Coturnix japonica: one gene and its partner. The protein of the gene in region 1 purifies or fractionates together with the protein of each later gene. This does not show direct contact. Links are inferred from orthologs where the notes say so. Each region holds a gene or a part of one and is shown on either strand. Other genes may lie near its edges.

Region 1 (6,444 bases):
AAAATGCCCCTCTTTCTTCGGCTCGCTGCTGCTCTGTCTCCCTGATGGATGGCAGCTCACATTCCTCCCCGCCGCCCCGCCGGGCGCTGCCAGCAATGGCACAGCCATCCCGGTGTGAGGCTGGGCACCAACACAGTGATGGGGAACCGGGCTGTGGGTACGGGAATAGGGGTGAGGGGGGCAACATGTGGGGGGTTGTGACATGTAAAGGGGGGGAGGGCACCGCGGGGACGTGGTGGGGATGCAAGGGAGGACACAACGGGGATCCAAATGGGATGTGGTGAAGATGAGGTGGGGACGCAGCAGGGATGTGGTAGGGACAGGAATGGGATGTGGTGGGCACACAATGGGGACACAGCAGGGACATGGATGGGACGTGATGGAGACACTGCAGGGGCATGGTGGGTGCACTACAGGGACATCATTGCAGGGACATAGAAAAGCCACAGCAGGAACGTGATGGGGACATGGCAGGGGTGCAATAGGGCCACATTAGGGACACGACAGGGACACTCACAGCATTGCCATCTAAATAACTTCTCCCATAACAGTGCCTGGGGCTGGACCTGCCCGGTGCCCCCTGGTGCCACATGGCTGGGGATGGTGACAGTGCCAGGTCTGGGGAACACGGAGGGTTTGGGGGTGGGAGAAACACCATGGGGATGTGCATGGCCCTGACAGCCCCTAAACCCACATCCCAGGGAGCTGGCAGCCAATGGGTGCAGTATGGGGCACCCAAAGCCCTATGGGTGCAGTATGGGGCACCCAAAGCCCTATGGCTGCAATATGGGGCACCCACAGCCCTATGGGTGCAGTATGGAGCACCCACAGACCTATGGCTGCACTATGGGGCACCCACAGCCCTATGGGTGCAATATGGGGCACCCAAAGCCCTATGGCTGCAATATGGGGCACCCACAGCCCTATGGGTGCAGTATGGAGCACCCACAGCCCTATGGCTGCACTATGGGGCACCCACAGCCCTATGGCTGCAGTATGGGGCACCCACAGCCCTATGGGTGCAATATGGGGCACCCACAGCCATATGGGTGCAGTGTGGGGCACCCACAGCCCTATGGCTGCAGTATGGGGCACCCACAGCCCTATGGCTGCAGTATGGGGCACCCACAGCCCTATGGGTGCAGTATGGGGCACCCACAGCCCTATGGCTGCAATATGGGGCACCCACAGCCCTATGGCTGCAGTATGAGGCACCCACAGCCCTATGGCTGCAGTGTGGGGCACCCACAGCCCTATGGCTGCAATATGGGGCACCCACAGCCCTATGGGTGCAATATATGGGTGCCCACAGCCTCTAAATGGGCTGGCAATATAGGGCACCACAGCCCTAATGCTGCAATATGGGGCACCCACAGCCTATGCGCTGCAATATGGGGCACCCACAGCCCTAGGCTGCAGATATGGGGCACACAGCATCTATGGGGCATCTATGGGGCACCCAAACCTAATGGGCTGCATATGGGGCATCCCACAGCCCTATGGCTGCAATCTGGGTACACATTAAGCACCTGCCACAGCCCTATGGCTGCAAATGTAGGGGCACCCACAGCCCTATGGGTGCAGTATGGGGCAACCCACAGCCCTTGGGTGCAGTCTGGGCACCCAAAGCCCTAATGGCTGCAATATGGGGCACCCACAGCCTATGGCTGCAATGGGGCACCCACGATCCTATGGCTGCAATGTGGGGCACCCACAGCCTATGGGTGGCAGTAATGTGGCACCACACCCTATGGGTGGGCAGTATGGGGCACCACCAGCCTATGGCGTGCAGTATGGGGCACCACAGCCCTTATGGGTGCAGTACTGGAGGCACAGTGGGATCAATGGGGGCAGCTGCACCTTTGGGTGCCCCCTGGATGGGGCTGTATAGGGCGGCACCTGCTGTGCGCGCTCCCGTCCCTCTCCCATTCCCCCGCTGCCCCCTGGCGGCAGAGCGCGCATTAGGCCACGCCCCCTTTATAGACCACGCCCTCAATCAAACCCCGCCCACCTCGGAGGCAGCGGCTATTTCCACTTCCGGCGGCGGTGCCGTGCGGTGCTGGGTTGCGCTGCGTCTCTCGGGCTCCGGTTCCGGCCTGGTGAGGTCTATCGGAACCACCTCGAGGTTCTTTGCTTTGGGGGGCGGTGGGAGCGAGGGAGGCGATGTAGTTTTGAATGTAAAACTACCCGCAATCCGTCTTTACTTGCAGGGGGTGGCTGTGTGGAGAACAGGCCTGGCTGGGCCTAGCGGGTTGCTGTGTGTAGGCCCGAGGCTGTGCCATGCCGGAGGGCCCTGCGGGGGGATGCCATTCCTGCACGGCTTCCGTAGGATCACCCTGGAGTACCAGCCCATGGTGGATGAGATCCTGGCGCTGCTGACACTGCGGGACGATGGAGGGAAGGATGAGATGGAAAGGTAATTGATTGGGCTGTAAGCGGAGCTATGGGGGTAAGGGGCTGCTTATATAAGGGTAAGGGTACTGCTGTATAAGCCAACAGTTTACAAGGCAATAGGAGAAACTAAAGCTTTTTCCCCTCCCTGCTTTGACCCATAGGAAACACATACTGCCCAGGTGAGTAACTGGTTGTTTTCATTCACATCCAGCCACACCTGCCTGGGGAGCAATGGAGGCCAGCTCTCAGCAATGAGACAAGTCTTGCAGAGGGAAGCCCACTCCCCATTCTACCAGGAAGGTGTGAGTTATACCCTGCTGAAGGTCACTGAGCTGGGGCTCGTCCAGGCTGCAGAAGTACTGCTGGAGTTTGGTGCAGACCTCAGCTTTGAAGGTATGGCTGTGGGGTGGGTGCTGTGCTTGACTCTGCTGCTTGGGTTGGCTGGGAGGGTCTGGTTGGTGAGAAGCTGGCCCTGCAAGGCAGAGATAACTGGGACAGAAAGGGAGGGGTGCTGCTAACTCTGGCTTCAGGCTCCCACTCTGGATTTGATTAGATGTGCCTTGTCTATACTCTTATTATATCTCTATAAGAGCAGACTGGGGGATGGCCAGAGAATGGGAGCCAGCTGGCATCTTTGGGGGGTTTTGTCAGAGGCAAAGCCACTGCAGATACAGGACCTGGGGCATCTGTAACGATTGCTTCTATAGACAGCTATTCTCAGTGCCCACCCTGATGTGTTTTGTGTCCTCAGACCCAGTTACCTACTACACCCCGCTGCACATTGCAGTGCTTCGCAACCAGCCTGACATGGTGGAGCTCCTGGCGCGTCACGGGGCTGACATCAACCGCAGAGACCGGGTATGGAACTGACTGCTTGGACATGAACATGCTCCAGCTTCCTTGGGGCTGCACAGGGCCATTGTGTGGGGTCAGCCCTCTCTGCTGCCCCTTCCAGGGCTTGCTGCATACTGCCTTCCATCAGTGGCCTCCCAAGCTGCTGCCTGTGCTGCTCCAGTGCTATGGCAAAAGCTGAGGCCGCCTTTGGCCAAGCAGAGCTGCTTTCTGCTGTGGAGCATGTGATGGGAGGAAGCTGGGGTATATCACCCTCTCCCTTTAAACATAGTGACTCTGGGGAGGGGGCTGTCATTCTTGTTTTTGGGGACAGGATGAATTCTATGCTCTCTTGTTGGCCATGATGAAGCCATCAGTGATTCTCCAGCAGTACTCATAAATAGTCCTTAATACTTGTGGATTCTCCTCTCGCCCTGTACAGATCCATGAGAGCAGTCCCCTTGATCTGGCCAGCGAGGAGCCTGAGCGGCTGCCATGCCTCCAGAGACTGCTTCAGCTTGGGGCTGACGTCAACGCAGCTGACAAAACCGGTTTGTGGGGTGCTTCCAGCAGGTGGGCTGGAGCAGGGCATGGGATCTGTGTCCCTTCACTTTGCTGCTGCTAATTCTGCCTGCTTCGGAAATTAATGCAGGCTGTAGAACCTCCCTGGTGCTCTGTGCTGTCTCCTAGTATCTTGTCTGCATTAGATGCAGCAGGAGGCTAAAAGCAGCTCTGTACAGCCCATGGAGGATGGAATTGGGTGAAGGGGGGGGGGTTTGTGCTCTGAAAACCACTCTGCCATGGCCCATGTGCCCTATGGGGCCACCACAGCTGTGCTCCATCACAGTGATGTTGGGAGCCTGCTAGCAGAAGGGCTGTTTCCCTCATGTTTAGCCATTGGGCTGGTGGGATGGATTCTTCTCCTTAGTTCTGGTGGGCTGAGCGTTTCCAGGTGGAGCACTGTCTCATCTGATTCGTCTTTTCCTACTGCAGGAAAGACGGCATTGTTGCACGCCTTGTTGCACTGTTATTGCAGCAGTGATGTCGTCCAGATCCACAACACAGAGAGCATCCGTCTGCTGCTGGAAGGAGGTGAGGACAACAGCTCCCTTCTCCACTCAGAGCCCCTCTAGGCCAGGTGCTGCCCTCCCAACTCCTTTATGTTCCCATCCGAGTAAGAGTAAAGTCCAGAAGAGCGCTCTGTTCAGGGTGCTCGGATTGGAAGTACTTTTCCACTAGGGAGAAGCACTGTTTGTCAGCCCTCTTGCTGTCAGCTCCATGCTGGGTTGTGCAGGTGCATGCTGCATTTAAGTACAGTGTTTCATACCTCCTGGTGGTACTAAAGGATCCACACCCCCTCTCCTGAATCCATCCTGATTGTGTCCTGCCTTTCTTTGCAGCTCCATTTATCTTCTGTTCCTTCCTCCAGGTGCAGATGCCAGGGCTACCACTGAAGATGGAGACACTGTCTTCACCTACATCATCTTCCTACTGGGTGACATAGTCTTGGCCAGCACAGAGGCCGAGGTACAGAATCGTTTCTGCATTCGTGTCATGCAGCTGCTCATGGCCCACGGTGCCAACCCCAGTGAGTGCCCATCCCTCGAGTCCTTCACCTACCGCTGCCTCCAGAACTTCACGTGCCACTTCCCACTGCTGCGTTTCCTGCTGGAGTCAGGTGCTGCCTACAACTGTTCCCTCCATGGTCCCTCATGCTGGTCAGGCTTCCAAACTGTTTTTGACTGCCTCTGCTCTCACGTCAGTATCCTCAAAGACAGCAGCATCTCTACAGAGGTCATCCAAATGGGTCAGACTCTGCTGGAGCTCATGATGGCCAGTTCACAAACCATCCAGCTGCCCAGTGACTTTAAGGTCGACGTTAACAGCTGCAGGTACCACGAGGAAAAGATCAGGACTCTGTTCTGCTCCGTGAAGCAGCTGGAGCACACCCCACAGGCACTGAAACATCTCTGCAGGGTGTCCATCCGCCAGTGCCTTAGGCCTTGGCCAATAGATGTAAAAATCAAGGCTCTACCTCTTCCAGACAGGCTGAAGTGGTACCTCCTCATTGACCACACTGCTGTTGGGCATGAGGACCTCAGCCTGACCGATGACTCTCCATCTCCTCATTCTGTGGTCGCAGTGCCTCCAGACAGTCAGCAAATCACTGCTCTGCACCCGTTATCTCTGCAGTGAGAGGTACTGCTTGTCCCTGTGCCAATGACTCGACCAATTCTGCCTGTGGTGTCTCTGCTGATTTTTCAGGGGTGTCTTTTATTGTGCACACTGCTGCATGCTCGTCTGTGGAGGTCTCGTGGCTTTAAAATATATTGCAGGGAGGTGAGCAGAGCCTGGGAGGGCTCATGGGCAGTGCGGAGTTGGACACTGCACAAAGGTGGTGGTTTAAAAGGTGGATCCACCTTTGCAAGGTGAAAAAGATTTGTAAGAAAAGGGGGGAGGAGGATGCTGTGACTGTACAGGTCTCTGCTCTGGCTGCAGGGTGGGTGAAGCAGTGCCATGAGTGAGTGGCAGCCCGGTGAGATGCCTCAGGATGCTGAGAGATGTTGGCTGTCCCAGCAGCAGAGCAGCAACGTGAAGAGGAATGTTGGCATCTGTGCCCTCGTGTTCAGTCAGTGGAAGCAGCCACAGTCCTGTATCTCTGCCTGGATGTGGGTGCCTTCCTCACTCACCTGGGATTCCAAAACCAGGAACATGGAGGGGATGAGGGGAAGCAGGTTTAGCAACAGCAGCCTGACTGAATCCACTCAGCACAGAGCACTGTCTACAAAGGGTGCCTCAGCAATGCTGGACTCCAAAGCAAGCAGACCAGTGGCTGTTCCTTGGTCTGTCCTTGTGCAAGGCTGAGGAATGGGCAGTTATCTCCTTGCTTTTCCCTGTTCCTCTTATCTGCTTCTCTTTCTTTTGGTGATTGCATGTTGAACTTTGATCTCCGGTGCCTCTTTCCCAGGGGAAGGAAATAGCAGCAGGGCTGCAATGGGAGTTTTCTTGCCAAGCTGCTACTGGAAGCCCCAACTTTTGGGGCTCTGCAGGAAGGTCCCAACCTGTCACATCCATCTGGCTCCCCCAAGGAGGCATCTGCTTCCTTGTGAGGTGCAAAAGATGCTGTAAAGCTGAGAGCCCCTCCACGTTTCTGTTGGTTTTGTTTGTTGTGAGGAACAGATGCATTAGAGGAAGAAATGTGCTCTGAGCTGATATTTA
Region 2 (5,908 bases), on another chromosome or scaffold:
ACTGTCCAAGCTCAAATAGTTTGAGGCCTAGTTTACCCTTTGATTTGTCATTAATCCTTAAAGTATTTTAACTCAGCTGAAATTAGAGGGTCCTTACATAGTGTAGATAAAGGTACAACTATTTAGGTTATTTTGGAGAGGTGTCACAGCTTTCTGTGGGTTTAAGGACATTTAACTAAATTAGGTTGGATCGTGACTTCAGAAGAGAGTAAATACAGCCCAAAGGTAAGGATGTTCTAAGGCCTGTGGTGGGTTTTTTTGTTGTTTTTCGTTAACTTATCACGCTTCTTTATGAGAAAATTTCTAAGTGATCTATTTAACGTATTACTTTAATATATTATTACTTATATTATTATTACTTTAATATATTATTAAAGTAATGATTTATTGTATTCTTACTGAAAAGTATAGAAAATGAAAGGGTGTTTATATCTGAAGATACGTTTGTACTACCCAGTTCTTAGGTAGAAAAATTGTCTTAAGTATAGAGCATGGCATCGGTATTTACATGTACGGTTAGTTCATTTGACTTTTAGAACAGCCCAGGTTTATATGGGAGAATTCATGATACGAAAATAAAGCAAAAACAATAACTCAGCTTTACTGGAGCTCTGACAGTGCGTCCTGGCTGCTTCACATCTGAGGTTGGAAAGCACTTTGTCCTGGAGTAACTCTTTTTAATGTTAGATTACATGTTGATAATAAGAGCACTCTGCATAAGTGCTCTACAGAAGCTAATGTTGCAATTACTTGCTCCTCCATAGGCAGGATCTGATGATAAAATAGTTAAAAGAAAAATGTTATTTGTTTCAACGACTCAAATGTTCAGTTGGGTAGATCGTGTGTTCTGTCCCTCTTAATAGTTTCCAGATTTAACCTTCCTGGTATGCTCAGTATTTGGCAAAACCAAGCAGCTGAATGCATTGAACACACTGCCATGTAGGATGTACATAAATCCTTTCACTCAATATTGATCAGCCAGTACACAGTTCTTGGCCAGTTACAATAAACTAGGTGCGCTGGCTGTTTATTCACCGTGATTAACAATCAATTTTGATTGGTTTTGTTTGTTTGTTTGGGGTACTTGCTGAGATATCCCGGAGTATTATTTGGGAACTTCTTTTATAGTTAAGCAAAATAAAGTGCATGTTGAATATTTCAAGTTAGCATACAGGCTGTGTATATTCTTTTTATCCTCTTGCTGCGTTGTAGTGTGCTGGAAGGCTCAGTAGAGGGCAGCCCATGCTTTACGAATGAGGATCATCACTGGATTTGTTTTCCTTCACTGCTGTTAGGTTGGTCGTCTAGAAAATGCAATTGGCTGGTACCACAGTCACCCTGGCTACGGCTGCTGGCTCTCTGGGATCGATGTCAGTACTCAGATGCTTAATCAGCAATTTCAAGAACCCTTTGTAGCAGTGGTGGTAAGTACTGTGTGATGGCTGCGTAGCAAATTGTGTTGAGAGGGAAATAACTTCTAGATTTTTGTCCATGTTATGGCCTAGTAACGTGTATTTTGCAGGATGGAAGTGGTAGATCTAAATCTTAAATTATTATCGCTCCTTTTGCATTTCTAGTTATGTGCTGGTCAAACTGGTAGTCTTGTTCATTGAGACCATTTTTGCTTCATTGCTCCAGAGGATGCTGTGCTGTACAAATCTATATGCTGCTCTTAGTTTGAAGTTGGTACTTGTGCAAAAAATGCATTAACAATCCATATTCAGCCTCTTGCAGTGTAGCAGAAATCTGGTTTTGTTCTTTTTGTTGCTTGTTCTGAAGGAATGAGTAGATTATGTTCACACAGTTCTGTTGCTTTGAACCTGAAGTGCTGTTTAATTGAAATGAGTGACATGGTCTAAGGTAGAAGATTCTAGAAAGTCTTTGAAGAAAAGATCTGAAGAAATTGTTTGGGCCATTTCAAGCTGCAGATCACATTTTAAATCCAAAGAAACCTTACTTTAAGTACAGCTTGTGCAACTACTGCTGCTGAAGGAAACAAATGATAAAAGACTGAAATTAGTCAGAAAGAAGGAATATGGGTAGTGTTAGCATTCCATTAGACAAGGACAAATCACCCTAGAAGTATTTCTACTGTATGAGTTTCCCCATGTTATGACAATTAAATGGATTCAGAACATTCCCTTTAGGACTTCTTTCTGTTTTCATTTATTCCTTTCTCTTTTCTTTCTTTTAAAATGAGGCAGAACATCAGTAAGTTTATTCTCAAGGAGATTCCTCTGCAATTCTTCTCTCTATTCCACCAAAGTACAGCAGGTCACAATATCTTTCTTAGCTTTAGTAGGACTGTGCTGTGTTGAAAGATTAAAATGTAGATTTTTATTCTGGCTCATTGCTTGCTCTAAGTGCAATTTCTTTTTAAGTATTTGGGAAAGGGATGAAATGGATTTGCAAAATGGTCCCTAGAAAGCTATTGATCTTTAATTGATAGAGTCACATGCCAATGGATGTCAACTGAAAAAATACTGTTTATGACTAAACAAATAGAATTTGCACTAATTAGTTCCTGAACTATGATCACTATTAATTGTAATAGTTCATTCAATGTTACATAAGAAGCATTACCTGTATTTTTTACAGATTGATCCAACAAGAACAATATCTGCAGGAAAAGTAAATCTCGGTGCATTTAGGACATATCCTAAGGTAAAAGCTTAAAATTATGTGTAGTGTAATCAATAACCTCTCTTTGAGTAATTGATCGGTGCTAAACATTAGTGCATCTGCTTCGCTGTATCACTGTGCATTCATAATGACTTGATGCCGTACTTGTTATTGTGTGAATATTGATTACATTTAGAGAAGTTGACTTCTAGGATGTTTTTAATAGATTTTTGTCAGTCTTAAATAGACTCTCTAGAGGAGGGAGCTTTCCTGTCATTCATTAATGTATTTATCTTAATTTTTTTCTAACATTTTTTTAGACCTAACATACTAGTAAGATTTTCTCTCATATGTTGTAACCTGCTTTTCATTGGAGCATTTGAAACACTCTGTAATTACCTCTTTCAGGTAAACACTATGAATATTCAAAAAAAAAACAACCCAACAACCATAAAAAGAGGTGAATTAACATGGAAGGGTTAGGCTAAAAACTAAGGATTCACCACAATATTGAAGATCTGGACCTCCACATGCAGTCTTATGGTTCTACTTCTGACACATACAGTTGTGCTCTTTTATTTCCATCTAATACAGTTTAAGTATAATTGGAAGTTTGATTCCCAGTTATCATTGACTTATCAAGAACATTCATCTGTCATTCAGTAAAACTGTAATCAGCAAGAATGTTTATGGGGCATTCCAGTTTACATTCAACATTATTTTAGAGCTGAAAAATATGCACAAGCTCAACCTTGAACAATTTGTGTTTCAGAAGAATATTCAGCTGTGTTGGCAAAAGCATTTCATAAATGCCATATTTTGAGCAGGGAGAAGAATCCTGCACCTGGAAACCAAATCCTGTGTAGAAAATGCACATTGGATGGGTATTTGAAGGGAGTCCTTGGATCATTTTGCAAGCAGATCTTGCCTAGTCAATAGCTGTGAGGGGCAGCACTTTAGACAAATAAGTAGCTTAAGTTTTATGTCTCTCTAGGGCATATGCAGGGCAAACATGATTCTTCCCACTTCACTTACCTTCTGTCTTCCCTCCAAAAAGGACCAAAATCACTTCTCAGAATAGGAAAAGAAATCTTGCATTAGAAGCTCTTTACTACTTTGATCTATTAAAAGATCCAATCCTAACTTGGCACCCTGTTCGCTTCTAACACTTTTTGACAGACCTGCAAACATAAAGACTTATAGTAAAGCGAAATGTAAACCTGAGATGCAAGAAAATTCCAAATTTCAGGCTAGTGGGGGAAATGTCATCTTCTTTACAGAAGTGTTTTCTTTGCATAAATCACAATTTTTGTGAAATGCTTTTCAAGAGCTTATTCATTCCTTAACAGTCCCAGATGTACTGTGTCATCTTTGCCCTTTCTTTGTTTAATTGTAGGGGTACAAACCTCCGGATGAAGGTCCTTCTGAATACCAAACTATTCCACTTAATAAAATAGAAGACTTTGGTGTTCATTGTAAACAGTAAGTAACATAAAAATTACTGACTGCAGCATGAGTTCTCAGTTTTTGTATTTAGTCTAATGATTCACCAAAAACTGCATTTCTTGGTGTGTTTCAAATCATGGCATTATTTGTTGCATTAGTACTGTTGATTTTGTGGAAAAGCATGTCCTTTTTCAGAAGATCTTCTACGGGGGAACAGTTTTAAAGATGAGGTTTCTTTTAACCTGGTTGAAAGAGCTAGCAGTTGTTTAACTTATAAGGAATAGTGCTTTCTTTGGGCAAGGAGTACAAAGTCAGATGCAGATTTAGCAGCAGGGCTGCTCTTCTCAGTAACAGCAACTGTGGTGCATACCTTTATACTGTGTCACCGTTAATGTGGCTGCAGGTTTTCAATCATATTGTTTCTTTCCTTGGTGAAGTGGAGCTGCTTCAAACGATAATATCAGCAACAGGAAGAATTACTGCTTTTTCTCTCCTGATGGAGAGAATACATTTCCATGTATTTTAAAGGCAGTTTAATTTTAACCATTCTCCTAGCACCCTGTCACTTGTTCCTCGCTTCATACATACATGTACTTACATGGAAAAGCATTTGTTTTGCCAGGTCAGTCCCCTGATCTGATCCAATTTGCAGCAGTACATATGTTCTTGCTGGTTAAGCTAAGGTAGAGGCAGATGATGGAGATGCAGTATTTGGGAAGATTCATAGAGTAGCTTGGGTTGGAAGGGATGTTAAAGACCATCCAGTTCCAACACCCACAGGCAGAGTTGCCACCCACTAGCTCAGGCTGCTCGAGGCCCCATCCAGCCTCACCTTGAATGCCTCCAGGGATCAGCAAGAGAAAGATGGGATTGCTCCTTCCATGCTGGTTTTGATTCCACCTTCAAGTGTTTGACGAGCCCTGCAGTTTAAGGAACTGTGTACAGAAAACTTCTGAGATCTCACTGACACCGTGTAGGTTCATGGATGTGATGTAGGCCGTTGCCTGTTTTTTTTTCCATGGTTTTGGTGCATGGATATCTATTTGTAGTGCATTTATAGCTGCATGCGGAGTTGGACTCTCAAGATATCAAGAAATTATTACAATTGAGAATTGATTTTCCTATCCAAACTGAGAAAATTCCAGAGCAGTGGCTACACAGAAATCTTTTTAGTAATGAATCTGTCGCTTCAGAATAGTGCTTGTATGGACACTGCCCATAAACGTTGGTATATATTAACGTATGAGTGGAAGGTGTGTTTTATCTTTATTTGAAGTGGTCAGTTTGGGAGAGTTCATTTGCTTATTTGGGGGTTTTGCTGTGGGATTTACTGTTGGTTTTTTGTTGCTTTTTTTCCTTCTTTAAGTTGGCAGTGCTTAATATTTACCATCATAACCTTCATCTCAGGAAGCTGGCTTATCGTACAAGCTATTTCTTGCCATCCAAAGAAAATATTTTCCAGTCTTCCCTAGGGAAGAAACAGCAGTTAGGGAAAAAGATGGAATTTAAACTGGAATTTTGGCACATTACTGAACTACTGATTGCAAATGATTAGAATGATGGCTTCCTCTCAGTAGTATGGGTAGTTGCACTACAGATTTAAAATGTAGCCAATTTGAATGATGGTCCTCTCTATTTGATAGTCTAGTCACTACTAGTTGTTTCATAGTAACAGTAACTTTGCATAGAAATTAAGCAATGATATGTTTATTGGTAGCTTTCTGAAGAGTTTAGTGATCAAAATAAAATCTAGCATAACTTGAATGTTGCTGTAATTCATCTACACAGAGCTCAGCTTTCTGTCTACGTAGTCAGATCTTATGAATTGCGTAGTACCAGC

The links. Proteins that work in one complex are often made in the same cells at the same time.
Region 2: the proteins of ASB6 (region 1) and COPS5 purify together in Homo sapiens (affinity purification with mass spectrometry; 3 studies listed by BioGRID and IntAct, with this or other methods). This does not show direct contact. The link is inferred for Coturnix japonica from reciprocal best matches to the Homo sapiens genes ASB6 and COPS5.

What each region holds. Positions count from the first base shown.
Region 1 is NC_029532.1:4,260,496-4,266,939, reverse strand, and holds the start of ASB6 (ankyrin repeat and SOCS box protein 6), read left to right. Parts: upstream 1-2,013; 5' UTR 2,014-2,125; intron 2,126-2,210; 5' UTR 2,211-2,303; coding exon 2,304-2,416; intron 2,417-2,555; exon of another isoform or gene 2,556-2,605; coding exon 2,606-2,787; intron 2,788-3,145; coding exon 3,146-3,252; intron 3,253-3,667; coding exon 3,668-3,776; intron 3,777-4,218; coding exon 4,219-4,317; intron 4,318-4,654; coding exon 4,655-5,421; 3' UTR 5,422-6,444. UniProt on the Homo sapiens protein: Probable substrate-recognition component of a SCF-like ECS (Elongin-Cullin-SOCS-box protein) E3 ubiquitin-protein ligase complex which mediates the ubiquitination and subsequent proteasomal degradation of target proteins.
Region 2 is NC_029517.1:104,431,634-104,437,541, reverse strand, and holds part of COPS5 (COP9 signalosome complex subunit 5), read left to right. Parts: intron 1-1,295; coding exon 1,296-1,424; intron 1,425-2,598; coding exon 2,599-2,664; intron 2,665-4,018; coding exon 4,019-4,104; intron 4,105-5,908. UniProt on the Homo sapiens protein: Probable protease subunit of the COP9 signalosome complex (CSN), a complex involved in various cellular and developmental processes.